Pelodiscus sinensis: one gene and its partner. The protein of the gene in region 1 purifies or fractionates together with the protein of each later gene. This does not show direct contact. Links are inferred from orthologs where the notes say so. Each region holds a gene or a part of one and is shown on either strand. Other genes may lie near its edges.

Evidence for each region. The genes of interacting proteins can lie anywhere in the genome.
Region 2: the proteins of CLSTN1 (region 1) and APBA2 purify together in Homo sapiens (affinity purification with western blotting; 3 studies listed by BioGRID and IntAct, with this or other methods). This does not show direct contact. The link is inferred for Pelodiscus sinensis from reciprocal best matches to the Homo sapiens genes CLSTN1 and APBA2.

The regions. Positions count from the first base shown.
Region 1 is NC_134733.1:12,835,905-12,843,092, forward strand, and holds the start of CLSTN1 (calsyntenin-1), read left to right. Parts: upstream 1-4,123; 5' UTR 4,124-4,379; coding exon 4,380-4,470; intron 4,471-7,188. UniProt on the Homo sapiens protein: Postsynaptic adhesion molecule that binds to presynaptic neurexins to mediate both excitatory and inhibitory synapse formation.
Region 2 is NC_134724.1:44,052,326-44,060,352, forward strand, and holds the start of APBA2 (amyloid-beta A4 precursor protein-binding family A member 2), read left to right. Parts: upstream 1-4,946; 5' UTR 4,947-5,560; intron 5,561-6,203; exon of another isoform or gene 6,204-6,484; intron 6,485-8,027. UniProt on the Homo sapiens protein: Putative function in synaptic vesicle exocytosis by binding to STXBP1, an essential component of the synaptic vesicle exocytotic machinery. May modulate processing of the amyloid-beta precursor protein (APP) and hence formation of APP-beta.

The sequences.
Region 1 (7,188 bases):
ATTCAGTTGCCCTGATGCTCTGGGTCCATCTTGGCTGATGTCATTGTACCAACAGTCTTGGATTGGCAAGTGGGCTGTGCCCACGAAAGCTTATGATATCTATATGTTTTGTTAGTCTTGAAGGTGTTAATAGACTATTTGTTGTTTTTTAAATTTATCCTGTAAAGACTAACTCAGCTACCCCCTGAAGCTTTTGGATTGGCAAGTCAGACATTGGTATTTATGCTGCTTATACCTAAAAATAAAATAATAAAAATCCACCCTCTTGCTCCCCACAAAGGAAGTAATAACATTACAAGTGTATTTATACAAGCGGTCAAAGCCCTGCTACTTTGTTAGAAACTAACAAAATTGTATTGTCAGGTAATGACAAACTTGGCACATCCTTGAGATCATATTAAGCTCTAATAAAACTCTTTGAACAATCCACGATATGGCATTTCTCCAGCTGCCGAATGGCACCTTGGAAATTCAAAGAGCAATCTGAGTAGCAGAAGCTGTTCCCTGAGGATGGAGCCTCACTGAGAAAGATCCCCGAAGGGTTTCATTTTCCTTGAGCATCAGTTTGCAGAGGAAATGATGCATCTATAAAGAACTGTGTAAAGAAAACGAGCCTATCCAGACATGCCCTGTGACTGAGCCCAAGAGATGCTCAACACCCACAACTCCCACTTGAGTTAAGGGAAGTTGTGGATACTCCACACCTCTCTGGATCATGCCCCATTCTATAATGCTCTCTGTCATCTTCTAATGAGTCAGTCTGTTTTAATAATACTGTGGATATGATAGCACCTTCAATGTGAGATTTACACACTATTTTACAAACCCAAGTTTCAAAGTATCCCTGTAAGGAAGATATTATTACTATTTTACCGATTGGTCAACTGAGGCACAGAAAGATTAAGTAACTTGCTTAAAAAAAACCCACATAGAAAATGTTTGGCCCTTCTAGGAATAGAACCCAAGAATTCTGGCTCAGAGCATCCTGCACCAAGCACTAGACTTTCCAAGCTCCTTTTAATGCTGTGGGACATTCAGTTTCTTCTTTCACTACTTTTCTCTGTCATGTAGTGGGATATATGCTCACAAGATTTTGGCTCTATACTGAGAAAGCAGTCATATTTTCATCATAGAATGTGTAGCTACCAAACTACAAAAAGCATCCTGGAGTGGGCTGGATAATTTAGGGGATTGGTGCTAATCTTTACCTTCAGGTTCTGATTTAAATCCAACCCAGGATGCTAGAGAGTGAAAGTCGCTTCTTAATGGTTTTTTTGGTGGCCTACATGAAAAGTGTTTGGTTGTCTTTATCCAGTTCTCAATGATGAAGTGTCCATTAGACAAAACACATCATAATTGTCACTAATTGTCTTTTAGAAGAGAGATCAAGGACTGACAGGTGTCGGAAATAAATTATCCTCTTGCCTCTGGAAGGTTGGTTGGCCCCCCCTACATCTTGAATTTGTTTTACTACTACATTGATGGGACAACCTGGGAGGAGCTGTTACTGGGACTGCCTGTTCTATAGATAAACAGAGCTGTCTGTGATACCAGCACTAAAGTCACATGATGAGTTTAAATATGAAAAAAGATGGAAACAAAAACCATATCAGGGGTGTCAAAACAGTCTGTGTTTTATTTTTATTTCACTGTGGAAGTGAAATTGCTAATAAATGCAAACCAGCTATTTCTGTAATGATAAAATCAGTCTGTCTCACTTTGTCTTTTATGAAGCTCCATAAATCTGGGAAGGTAAGATTTTCCTTTTTGGATCTGGCTCTCTGATAGAATTTTTTGATCAAAGAGCAATAACAAAGGAAGCTGAGACAATCACCCTTCTACAGCTATACAAGTACTATACCCCTAAATTATTCATATGCAATCTTCTATGTGGGGCACCTACATGTTTTCGCAGATAGAACTAATAACCCTGTATCCTAATTTAAAAAAACAAATCCATGTACATAAAATGCATGTCACTAATCAGCACGTCTGCATATTTTAGGTACTTCAAAAACAGTTTAGCTACTTTATGCAGAAAAGTTTATACTGTTCAGTTATGAGAAAGGTATTTTGTACTTTCAGTTTCCCCATCTGTAAAATGGGGCTAATAATTCTTAAAGGAACACTAACTCAGAAATCACCTATAGCTGGGATCCTACATACTTATGTATGTACTTAATATCAAGCATTTAGATAAGTGTACACTATTGTGACTTAGATTAACCTTCTCCAAAAAACACTCCCCCCCCAAAATACTTCACCATATTTTTCTGTTTTTTCCACTTTGTGCATTTGACAGTACTTTATACAGGTGTCTTTTACCATTTTCCCGAAAGACTCCCAGCTATAGTGTGACATGTGTGAGTGGACCTCTACATATGTCTTGCAGAATCTGGGTTTTAGGGCTTGATTCTGTTCCTCCTGAAGTCAATGGGCAAAACTCCCCTATTGCAGGACTTGTAGTGGGGGGCGAGGGGCGAAGGGTGAGCCAGATCTTGCCTTGCTGGAAACATCTCTGTAAACATTAACACAGGAGCAGGCAAATCCCTTATAAAAATGTAAAGGGATGTTTAGAAGGTTAAGATATACTATTTAAAAGTTGATGTATCAGGAAATGGACTATTTTAAAAGTATTTTTTTAAATGACTTGATAGTGTCCCACTACGGAGTAATGAAGTTTAATTAGTTAATGTTCGTAAAATAACTTCAGATCCTAAAACATTATTTTTGTATTCGCCAGATACAGAGCAATCTTGTAAAACAGTTCATTTCAACTGCAGTAAGGTAAACAATGAATGATTATTTGGGGAAAATCAGGAAAAACTACCACAACAGTGGAAATTAAGTACACAACAACAGAAAGAAGACAACAATCCTACATACTTTGAAGGGAAATCTAGCCTCCTAAAATAATTGTTGCCTCAGGGCAATTACACCGCAAAGTGTCTCTTAGGTAAATCCTGTGATCTTCCAACAGTTCTTACCCAGGCAAAATGTCCTTGGTATCGGATTTTTGGCCGAGTAAACACTAAAGGGGTTTGGTTCCTGGGTGGATTACACTGCATTGCAGTTTGTGAATTTTAATACAACGCAGAAAGGAAAAAAGCATCGCGGGTGAGACAGCATTTCACATCCCCACCATCCGCCCACTCCACGTGCCCACAAATAAATAATTAACAGGGGCCACCGTTTTAACTCCTCCTCCATCCAGGGGAAAGCACGCGAGTTTGCCGTGGAGTGTGAAGTTGACTGCGACGCGAAAGGCACTGAGCCTTTCTTGCCTTCCCTCCCCGCATCCCAAGACGTCTGCATTGCAGTGCAAACTGAATCACGCACCGGCATGGAGCGCTGCCTTCCGCTCCAGCCAACACAGACCACGCGAGCACGCCCCGCATTGTTAGTTATTTTGATCGGGGTGGCGCCCACTCGGTGGTGCTTACCACGGTGCACAACGGGGCTGAGCATCCTCCTCTACCTTCTGCCCCTTTGCAGCAGTAGAGCCTGCAGGGCAGGACAAAATGGATGGTGCCTCTGACTCTCCCTCCCTCCCGCCTCCGCTCCTACCTACACAGAGCAAATCCGGTGTGATTGCAGTGGGTGATGCTTCATACCCATGCAAAAGGGCTGGCACATGAGCACCGGCCTCCTGCCCCCTGCCCCTCCCTTGCCAAAGGAAAGGAGCCCTCCCCACGCTCCAGCCCTGGACTCTGCAGAGGGGCTCAGAGGCTGTGATAGGACACCTGAGAAGGACACTCTTGGTTCCTTCCAGGTAGAAGAGTGAAAACCACCTTCTCCCCACAGAGAGGCGATGGCTTCTCCCATCTCTCTATTGCCCCAGATGGTATTTTCCTTCCCTCCACCCCCAGCCACCCAATGGAGGGGTGGGTTATCCCCTCCCTTGATACCCCCCTCTACAGGTTTGGTTTCTCTCCTCCCTCGAATCCACACCAAGAAATAAGGTGCTCCCCTCCCATAAATGGTTCTGCCCTCTAGCCCCCAGAGATAAGGTGTGGTCTCCTCTCCTTTTGCCCCCCCCTCCCCACTCCAAATGGTTTGTTCCCCTCCGCCAGAGGGATAAGATGGTTTCTCCCATTCCTCATCTCCCGAATCCCTCCCTTAGAGTTGGTTTCTCCCTGGGCCCCCCTCCCCCGCCTGGTAACCGGTGCGGGAGAGAATGAGCCCAGGCATCAGCCGCCATCTTGATCCTAGCTGCCGCTGGCAGAGCGCTGCGCTCTGAGGAGGGGAGCGGAGCCTTCGCAGCGCCCCTAACCCTCCGCCCCGCAGCGCGGGACGCAACCAGGCCCGCTGGGGGGCCCCCTCCTCTGTCTCTTAGGGGTCCATCCCCCCTGCCACTCTGAGCGGGCAGAGCGCGCGCGATGCTGCGCCCCGGGATGCTCTGCCCCCGCCTAGCCCCCGCCTGGCTCCTGACCGCTGGGCTGCTCTGCGGGGGGCTCTGGGCTGCTAGAGGTGAGTGAGCCTTGGAGCCGTGCGGCGGGGGGGGGGGGGGGGAGCTTGCTGCAGTGACCTCCTCCCTGGAGACTGCGTGCCCTCTGCGGGGGCTTGTCCCCCCAATTCCCCGGGACACCACCCCCTTCCCCGGGTCACCCTGTCCGCCTTCTGCGGGGGCTTGTCCTCCACCCCTTCCCTGGGACACCCCACCCGCCTTCTGCGGGGGCTAGTCCGCACCCGTTCTTCTTCAGGGATGTCTAGCTCCATCCCCCATCTAACGATGTAACCCTAGGGCACCCCATCTCTCCCTTCTGGGAGGCTTAACCCCGTTCCCCTTCGTGGTGGGGGTGGGGGTTACTCCATTCCCTGTAACATCTCCTACATCCTAGCTATAATCGCTATGGAATTTAACCCTCTGTTCCCTTCTTTGGTGGGGGTCTAAGTGCATTCTCCTTGTGGCACCCAGTTTACCTACCTCTGTTTGGGATTTGAACCCCTGTGTTCCTCTCGCTGATGGAGGAACCTGGTTTCCCCATGTAATATCTCCTTTATCCCTCTCCTGGTGGAATTTAACCTTCACTTATTTCATATGGGAATTAATCCCTTTACATTGAGCAAAATCTCCTCCTATGAGGGGGCTGAGTTGTGGGCGGAGGCAATGTCTTTGGCTTCCTCCATCCTTTGGGCACAGCAGGATGATACCCCTCTCCAGAGTGCTAGGGATAGGAGGGGGTTAGTCCCTCTCCTCAGTGGTGCTGCCTTAGGGGGTGGGGAGTTATCCCCATACATAGTGTGGCAAACATCACAATCATAGATGATGGAAGAAGGAGGAGAGAGTTGTCCCAGTGAAGGAGACTTCCCAACAGCCAGATCTGGGGATGATTTATCATGTGTGTTCGTTGGGGGGTAGCAAAGTTGAAGCCCTACAGACTAGGGAGGGGAATTGCTACCCACACTTCTCTTTAATGCTGAGGTGTGATGATAGGCGGTAGTGGTGGGTTATTCCTGGTAAGGAAGACTTGCCCACCTCAAGTTAGGTTGTTCTCTTCCTCCTCCTGGCAGATGCAGCTTGAGCTAATGCCTGCTTGGGACTCTGTTTCCTGGGTTTCTGGGAGAGGGTGGGAAGGCATTGGCTTTGCTAATGACATCAAGATATATATCAGTGCAGTGTCTACTTTTTTATGAAGGGGGCACCCTGAGATTTTGGTAAGTGATCAAGGGCTGCGTTTTTCAATGGAGGGGATGTGAGGTCTTAGATGGAAGTTGGGTGCAGAAGGGAGCTTGGGGTTATGGATTGGGGTACAGGAGAGGGTGTGGAGTTTGAGAGGAAGTTTGGGTGAAGGAGGAAGTTGTCACCTGGGATAGGGAATTAGGAAGGAGGTGCGGGGTGCAGGAAAGGATTCTGTCTTGGGGGAGCAGTGTGAGAGGAGTGCAGGGTCTGGGAGAGAGTTGTCACCTGGGAGAGAAGGGTGCAGAGGGAAGGGATGGTGACCTGGGGTAGGGAGTTGGAGTGTAGGAGAAGGTGGGGTGTCAGGTGTAGTCTCTGGCCTAGAGGCACTTACTTGGTGGCTCCTGACTAGCTGGACCTTCAGGCAGGCTCTATGCCTGAGAGGGCAGGCTGCAGGTCAGATGAGCCATATTTTGCCTGCCCCATGTGAGTGAGAAGAAGAATGCATGAACCATAATCGTTCTGCCTCTGTTTTGGTTTTGTGGTTTTGTGGTTACCTTGATTAGGGTCTGTAACAAGGAGTGTGTGGATGTTACATAATTGTTCCTCCAAAAACTCTTGGATTTTACATTGTGAATATTTTCTTCTTTTCTTTAAGCTCAGTTTGGTTTTAAATTAATAGAGGTGTAGAGGTCGTAACTTGTATCAAACATAGTCCGAACTCATGAAATGTGGTAAGACTATCCATGCAGCCCTAGACTGGCTGCATATTGTAAACAGTCTCTCAGCTGGTTCTTGAAAGGCAGGGTAGTTGTGTGTGTGCACAGCTTTTAAAACTATGGTGGTATTTCGGTTAGTGGAAGAGCTTTGATCATTAACTGGGAATAGAAATGGGAAATCTAACACCTCAACGAGCCTCTCCCAATGACATGTTTTTTTTAATAGAGAACATTGTCCTGTTCCTAAAGCAAATACAATTTTATTGCATCTTTTGCCATATACCCTTTTCAGTGTTGGATATTGATTGATGTTGCAAACTGAAAAGCATACGCATTGCAGATCTGTTTTTGAACAGATTTCATTATAGTATTGCAGACTGTTCTTTACCAGAATGTGAACCTATATATTAAAAAGGGCAGTTTCTGTAAGATTATTTAATTGATCTGATGGTGGTATTTGTGGACTGCATTTTCTTTTCCTAGCATCCACTAGTTTGTAATAGCATCCGGACTTCATAAGCAATTGAAAGGCTTCTGTCTATGAAGCGCACAAGCTCTTTTTAGGTACTCTGACAAGTTATTACTAATCTAAAGACCAAAATGTAACAATATTTTATCTAATATTTATTAAATCATCTTGTAATTTCATTTTAATACTGTGTATCTGTGGAACATGAATACTTGGTTACCTTGCTGAGATATCAATATTAGAATGAAGATTCGAATACACTCTTGCCTTTGTTCTTTTTCTTAGAAAAGATGGCAGCAGAAACTTAATTTTCTACTTGCCTGTTTTTATGTTTTTATGTAATTCTGAGACTTCTGTAGAAAGTTGTACGTAAATACTAG
Region 2 (8,027 bases), on another chromosome or scaffold:
TCTGCCGCTGCCCAGCCCCCTAGTAATCTAGCTCATATTGTACAGAGAGGTGTTTTGGGTGGGGGTGCAGCAGGGGTGGGAAGAAGCAGGGCAGGGGCAAGACTTGGGGGAAGGGGTGGAGTGGGGTGGCGATGGAGTGTAGGAGGGACCTGAGGTAGGATGGTTGCCCTGGGCCTTGCAACACCCTAGGGATGGCCCTGCCTGTAGTCATGCATCACTTTAAACCACATGCCTAACAGAACTGGACACATAATGACTACATTGCATAACATCTACCTGATGGGAATGCAAGTCAACTAAATTAAAATGCCTTTTCACTCTCAGTGTCATGAGATATTTATGACTGCCCTGAGATCAGATCCAAGGAGTAGCCAGCAATCTGCAGTTTGTACATACACTAGCTTACCTTCTGTCACAATTGCCTCCTAGCTGTTCCTTTATATTCAAAATAATCAATAACACGGTGGGTGCCCTTAGAAGTATCTAACAATTTCTAATAAAAGGCCTGGTCAACCACAACAATGTTGCTCCCAGGGCACTATATGACACAATGAGCTTTCAAATATTAAATGTATCATCTTATAACTCCTATATTTTGTATGTGGCTTTATATCCTTCCCTACATCTCTTCCACCTTGTGCTAATACTGTCAGTCTATGACCTTACCACAGATTATGCTCCGTTATGTCCATGTTTTCAGCTCTAATGCTCAATCTTTTTTATTCTCTTTTTGGTAGGACCAATCTTATGTTTTGTAGCACCCCAATCAAGAGCAGGTATTTAGAGTGATCACCTATTTTGCACTTTTAATATAGACTCATAGACTTTAAGATCAGAAGGGACCATTATGATCATCTAGTCTGACCCCCTGCACATAGCAGGCCTCAGAATCTCACCCACTCCCGCCTGGAATAATCCTCTCACCTAAATCTCAGATATTGAAGCCTTCAAATAGTTTAAAGACCCCAAGATGCAGAAAATCCTCTAGCTGTGATCTGTGGCCCATGCTACAGAGGAAGGCGAAAAACCTCCAGGGCCTCTGCCAATCTACCCTGGAGGAAAATTCCTTCCCGACCCCAAATATGGCGATCAGCTAAACCCTGAGCATGTGGGCAAGACTCACTAGCCAGACACCCAGGAAAAGTTGTCTATAGTAACTCCTATCATCCCTCAATTGATTATTTACCACTGATAATGAAAGGTCAATTAGTTACCAAGATCATATTACCTCATCAAACCATCCTCTTCATAAACCCATCTAACTTTATCTTGAAGCCAGATAGATCTTTTGCCCCCACTACATCCCTTGAAAGGCTGTTCCAGAACTTCACTCCTCTCATAGTTAGAAACCTTCATCTAATCTCAAGTCTAAACTTCCTACTAGCCAGTTTATGTCCATTTGTTCTTGTGTCCACATTGGTATTAAGCTTAAATAATTCCTCTCCCTCCCTGGTATTTATCCCTCTAATATATGTAAAGAGAGCAATCATGTCCCCACTCAGCCTTCTTTTGGTTAAGGTAAACAAGCCAAGCTCCTTGAGTCTCCTTTCATAAGACAGTTTTTCCATTCCTCAGATCATCCTAGTGGCCCTTCTTTGTACCTGTTCCAGTTTGAATTCATCCTTCTTAAACATGGGAGACCAGAACTGCACACAGTATTCCAAATGGGGTCTCACCAATGCCTTGTATAATGGCACTAACACCTCCTTATCCCTACTGGAAATACCTCGCCTAATGCATTCCAAGACCGTATTAGCCTTTTTCACAGCCATGTCACAATGGCGGCTCATAGTCATCCTATAATCAACGAGGACTCCGACGTCCTTCTCCTCCTCCGTTACTTCCAACTGATGGAACTAAAATTCTTGTTATTAATCCCTAAATGCATAACCTTAACCTTCTCACTATTAAATTTCATCCTATTGCTATCACGCCAATTTACAAGGTCATCCAGATCTTCCTGTATGATATCCCGATCCTTTTCTGAATTGGCAATACCTCCCAACTTTGTGTCATCTGCAAATTTTATCAGGACACTTCCACTTTTGGTGCCAAGGTCAGCAATAAAAAGATTAAATAAAATTGGCCCCAAAACTGATCCCTGAGGAACTCCGCTAGTAACCTTCCTCCAACCTGACAGTTCACATTTCAGTGTGACCCGCTGTATTCTCCCCTTTAACCAGTTGCTTATCCACCTCTCAATTTTCATATTGATCCGCTTCTTTTCCAATTTACCCAATAAGTCCCCATGTGGTACTGTATCAAATGCCTTACTAAAATCAAGGTAGATTAGATCCACTGCATTTCCTTTATCTAAAAAATCCTTTATCTAAAATATCCCTAGCCAGCACTGAATATGGTGATACTAAGAATTAGTTGATGTGAGAAATATGCAAAAAACATACACTGTAATGCAAATGACTCCTAAACTGTGAATAAAGCATTGTGAGGCATGTTGTCTCTTAAAAATAAGCCTTGTTTAGTATATTTCCTTTAAAACATAGGTTGCCCAATTTAGTGGTGCTGCCAGCTACTGCTAATGAAGGAAATGTCAGTTCCCTTCTTGCCCTCCCTTTTCCACTGCTAGAGAAAGGGGCAGTCTATTGGTGGCCCTGGACTATAGTATTCAAACTATGAATTACTGATTGCGTAATACATGTGTTACAAAGGAGGATCCCCAGATGGTGTCTTGTGGAGTTTTTAAGTTCAACATGGCTTTCTAATACAGAGATGTAGACTTTTTAATAGACTCTAGGGATCACTGGATAGGAGTTGAGGGGGATTAATGATTGAACTTCTAATTGAAATGCATAGATCAGTGGTGGGGAAGAGTAGGCAACATTAAAACCTGCCACTTTGAGTGTTGGGTGCTCAGGGTGCCATAGGCACAGATATTACAGCTGTGAAAGTGATGTTGAACAGAGGGAAAAAATCAATTCTGTGCCTTGAATGAACTGAATTTGGCAGCTGGTGGTGGGAGGGAGAAATAGGTGCAGAAAGGCACTTAACATGCTATCTGGACCTAAGTAGGAGCTAGTCTGTTCCCTCACAGAAGCTTGAGAACTCCATAGGTTGCTCTAACTTACTTTGCTGCAACAGCTCATTGGGAGGCAGGGGCGGTTATAGGGCAGGGCGAGTGGGGTGGCCGCCCCGGGCCCCGCGCTTCAAGGAGCCCCGTGTATGTGCCGTGGCAAAGGGGGGCCCCCGCAAAATTGTGCTGCCCTGGGCCCCGCAAAATGGTCATCTGCCCCTGTTGGGAGGAGTTGTAGCAACTGTGAATAGTTGTAGGGTACAGGCACTCTGGTACTATGAGCGTGTCATGCTCCTTATTTGGGCTGTGTAGTTTAGATCTGTTCTTCTGTAACTGTTCATCCTAGCAGGTTACTTTACATGAGGTAATTCTTAAGTAGTTGTATAGGGGTTGCCAATTTTTGAAAAGTGGATACTTCTTCTCCACCCCTTCTTCTGAGGATCTGCCCTCTATTCACTCCTCTCTCCCACCCTGCCCTGTGCCCAGTCTGGGGCCCATTGAACTCTCCCCATCCTCCTGAGGGTTACCTGAGAGGGTGGGGAAGCACGATCCATAAGCCACTCACTCAAGTCTCACAAGTCTGTGGAGGAGCTGGGGGGAACAGAACCCAAGAGTCCAGGATTCCAGCCCCACTTTGCTCTAACCTCTCTTCCCCTCCCAGAGCCAGGGAGAGAACCCAGGAGTCCTGACCCCCAGCTCCTCCATTCTCCACCACCATGGCAAGGCACAGTCTTGAATATGCCCAGGTACTCCCTGGTCATCTGGGCCCTTGAACTGAGAGCAGGGAACTATTCACTTTCACATGGGGAACTTGGCCCATTATTTGTAGCCCCCCTCAAGCTGTGACCTGTTCACCCTGGCTGGATCCAGAAAACTTACATGGAAATATTGCTTCTGGGCTCTCCCTACTTCTTCTGAGGGGTTTCACTATCCTCTGCTCCAGGTTCCTCTGTGTCTGATGGTGAGGAAATATTGGGCTCTTGGACTACCTCAGCTACAGCTGGGGCAGGCTGGCTACAATGTACCAGAGCCTGCCAACTTCTGCCACTCAGAGCAAGCAGGCACCTGAATTCCTAGGGACCAGTCCAGCTCCTAGCTGGGCAATGATCACACTGTGCATGGGTCCAGAATTGGCAGCCGGCCTTCAGGGCAAGTGGCTCTGTGCTGAATCCAGGCCTCTCTGCTGCATCAGAAGTCAAGCAAAGCAGAGCCAAGGGCTGCACTCCAAATGGCTCCTGCCTCGATATCTTCTTAGTAGCTGAAGTGAAGCTCTTTGTTCCCTAGAGGTAGCGGGGGTGCATCCTTCCTTCCAATGGCCTCTCAGTCATGCTTAGAGCTTGACCTCCCCCTTGCCTGCTCTGCTTGTAGCACCACTGCAGCTGCTGCTGAGGCTCTCCCTGGCTGCTGAGCAGCTGCTGGTCTTACCACTCTCTTGATGGGGAGGCTGACTGTGGTTAGTTGTTTTCAGACTTTCAATGTTCAGAGAGCAGTGCTGATCAGACACTGTTCAGGTTCTCTTTTTGATTGGACTTTCCGGTCAAAAACCAGACATAGGGCCATCCTATAGTTGTACTATAAAGCACTAGAGCAGAACCTAGAAGTGGTCCCAAAGAACCAGACATGGACTAAGAATAGTGCTTTACTCTCAAGCTTAGAATAGTCCCTGCTTTGCCAATTGGCGATCTTCTGATTTTTTTAAAATATAAAATGCATGGTATGTCTGATTTGTTTTGAAGCCGGACAAAGAAAACTTATTGGCAGATGAAGTGAAGCTCTCAGACTTTACCACTTGTAGGCAGGTGTGACCTGGGGGGGGGGGGGGGGAGTGTGGGATTAGAGCTCATCCAAAATGTCTTGAATAATGTATCAAAATTCTTGGTATTTTAAAGCAAATTATCCAGTTGATTCTTCCACCCATTTTCGAGTTCTTTGTCTACCATACAAAGCAAATATCTCTTCAGCATATCCACATGCCACGGATTGTACCTGTAGCATCTCAAGTTAAATATTTGGAAGGGTCTTTTGTTTTGCCCAGCTACAGATGGGGTATCTTTGTAGCAGAGGCGACTCTGTACCACCCCCCAGGACCAAACACCCCCCCACTTTATCGCGAAGGGGACGGAAGGGCAACACACGGAATTTCGACCCAGCTCTCCTCCCCAGTTAGGCAGAGAAAACCCGGGCAAGGTTCTTAGGAAAGTCCTGTCTGCCTCGTTCTTTATCCGCTGCCGGGACTAGGGGGAGGGCGATCGTGTTAATGAGCGGGGCTGGGTGCGGGGGCCGCGTCGCTCGTGCTGAAGCCCAGCCCCAAGGCGGGGGGTCTCGGACGCCTGCACGGTTTGGTTCTGCGCCATGCAGCGTGCGGGGCAGTGCGGGAGGGGGCGGTGTCTGCTGCTACTCAGCTTGCCGGGCTCATTAGCAGTCTCCGTGTGTGGCTCGGCTCCGGAGCAGTCACACAAAAGAGCCGGTGCGGCCGCTCCCCTTGGGGCTGCGAGGAGCAGGAGCGGAGGCGGCGCAGTCCCGGTCCAGGTCAGTGGATGTGGGGGGGGGGGGGGTAACACGCTGGCGCTTTGCTCCCAGAGAGGGGGCAGGAGAGGAAGGGGGGGGCTGCTGCAGACCCCTCCCCGCCGGGAGCTCCCTCCGGAGCGGGCTGGATGCTGCAGGGCTGGCAGGGAACGCGGTGCACGAGCCCCGGGGTGCTGTGCGGTGTGTGCGGAGGGAGGAGGTCGGATGCCGCATGCAAGGGCCGCTCTCCCGACCCAGCGCCTTGCAGTGTCGTGTGGGGGGAGGGGATCCGATGCTGCATGCGCGTCCCCCGCTCCTCCTACCCCGAGCTCCTTGCGTGCCAGGGCTGGTCCCCTTCCCCCGCACGAACACCGCAGGTCCCGCTCCCTGAGCCTGGGCTCTTTGCGGTGGGTGTGGGGAGCAGAGACTGCACGCACATCTCATGCCCCTACCCTAGCTCCTTGCAGTGCGTTGGGCGGGGGCAGAGGAGGAGCAGATGCTGTATGCAAATGTGACTCCCCGGCCCCGAGCTCCTTGTCCTGGTGGGATGCTGGTCACAGGATATTGCATGCGGCTTCTCCCCCCAACCAACTGACCAACCGGATTGTAGCTCCAGCTAGTGGGGGGAAATTAAGCTCATTGAAAGGGGGTCCGTGGGGGTGGAGAGGAACCTTTGGGTTCCTTGTGGAGTGAGGATTTTGCTGCCATCAAATCTCATCCCCATCCTCTTGCGGGGGAGGAAATCAACGTTGCCATCACAGCACAGAAAAGCCAGTTTGGAAAGAGACTCCAGCAAGAAGAGTGCAGTGTTACTAATATGGGAGAGTTTATTGTTTAATGTGTAGCAGCTGATGAGAGGGTCGATCTGCTCTTGCGGTCTAGGGAGGCGGCCGATGGTATTTATGTGGCTGGGTCTGGTGCAGGGATGGAGAAGATGTTCTCTGCCTGGTACAGAAGAGCTTTTCTTTCTTTCTATTGTGGTAACCGTGGTGGTGGGGAAGCTTTAATGCAGCTGCCTCGTTTCAGTTAGATGAGCACTGGAAATGGAAAGTGTTTCTAACCGGAAAGTTGCTGCTGCTAGGATCATCCTTTTCTCTGATTGCAGTCTTTGCTGTATTCATTTTTTTAAATTGTGTGCTTCCATCCCTCTCCTAGTAATTTATATGTACATTATTTTAGAATGTAACTTTCACAGTTTTGGCATTACTTCATCTAGAATGGGGTTATTTGTACATATAATATTGATATAGTGTGTGTATATTTAATTGTTTATACCTAGCTTTTGAAGTGTGTGTCTGTATATCTGTCTTTATTCACACATTGCTCATCTACAGTGCTGGAGAATTCAGAGTTCATTTTAAGAGTCCAAAACACAAAAGAAAAGCCCTCATGTAATGCACTGCTGCTTAGAATTTGTATTTGTTTCTGACTTATCAAGCCTCCAGTGTAGGGACTAAATTAGAGCTTTTGATCAACTTTTTCCCCCCCCCCCCCCCTTCTCCTTTATAATGAGGTCTGGAGGGAAAAGTTACTTAATTATAAATTCTCCACTTCATTTTTCTTGGAGTAAACAGTGTGACAAATTATAACATGGATTCCCCCCCCCCCACACACACACATTTTCTGCTATCTTCACAATGACTAGATGATGGAGTTTTTTGTATTTCTGACATGAAAGAAGGGGTTCTGCATGTGTAAAACTGAATGCTCAATAGGGAAGAATTGGTATGCTTTGCCTTAACTGGCAAGTACTTCTTGATTTATTAAGTTACTTTGCTCAATGCCCTTCTGTTTGTGGTTGTATATGATAGTGCTTGGGGTGTGTTATAGACCACCAGGATCCAATTTGGATATGGATAGAGACCTCTTTAATGTTTTTAATGAAGTAAATACTCATGGCAACTGCATAATCATGGGAGAGTTCAACTTTCCAGATATAGACTGGAGAACAAGTGCTAGTAATAATAATAGGGCTCAGATTTTCCTAGATGTGATAGCTGATGAATTCCTTCATCAAGTAGTTGCTGAACCAACAAGGAGGGATGCTATTTTAGATTTGGTTTTGGTGAGTAGCGAGGACCTCATAGATGAAATGGTAATAGGGGACAACCGAGGCTCGAGTGATCATGAGCTAATTTAGTTCAAATTAAATGGAAGGATAAACAAAAATAAATCTGAGACTAGGGTTTTTTATTTCAAAAGGGATAACTTTAATTAAGGAAATTAGTTAGGGAAGTTGATTGGACTAAAGAAATTATGGATCTTGAGGTGGAGGAGACCTGGGATTATTTTAAGTTAAAGTTGCAGAAGCTGTCAGAAGCCTGTATCCCAAGAAAAGAGAAAACATTTATAGGCAGGTGTGTTAGACCAAGCTGGATGAGCAAGCATCTCAGAGAGGAGATTAAGAAAAAGCAGAAAGCATATAAGGAGTGGAAGATGGGAGGGATCAGTAAAGAAAGCTACCTTATTGAGGTTAGAGCATGTAGGGACA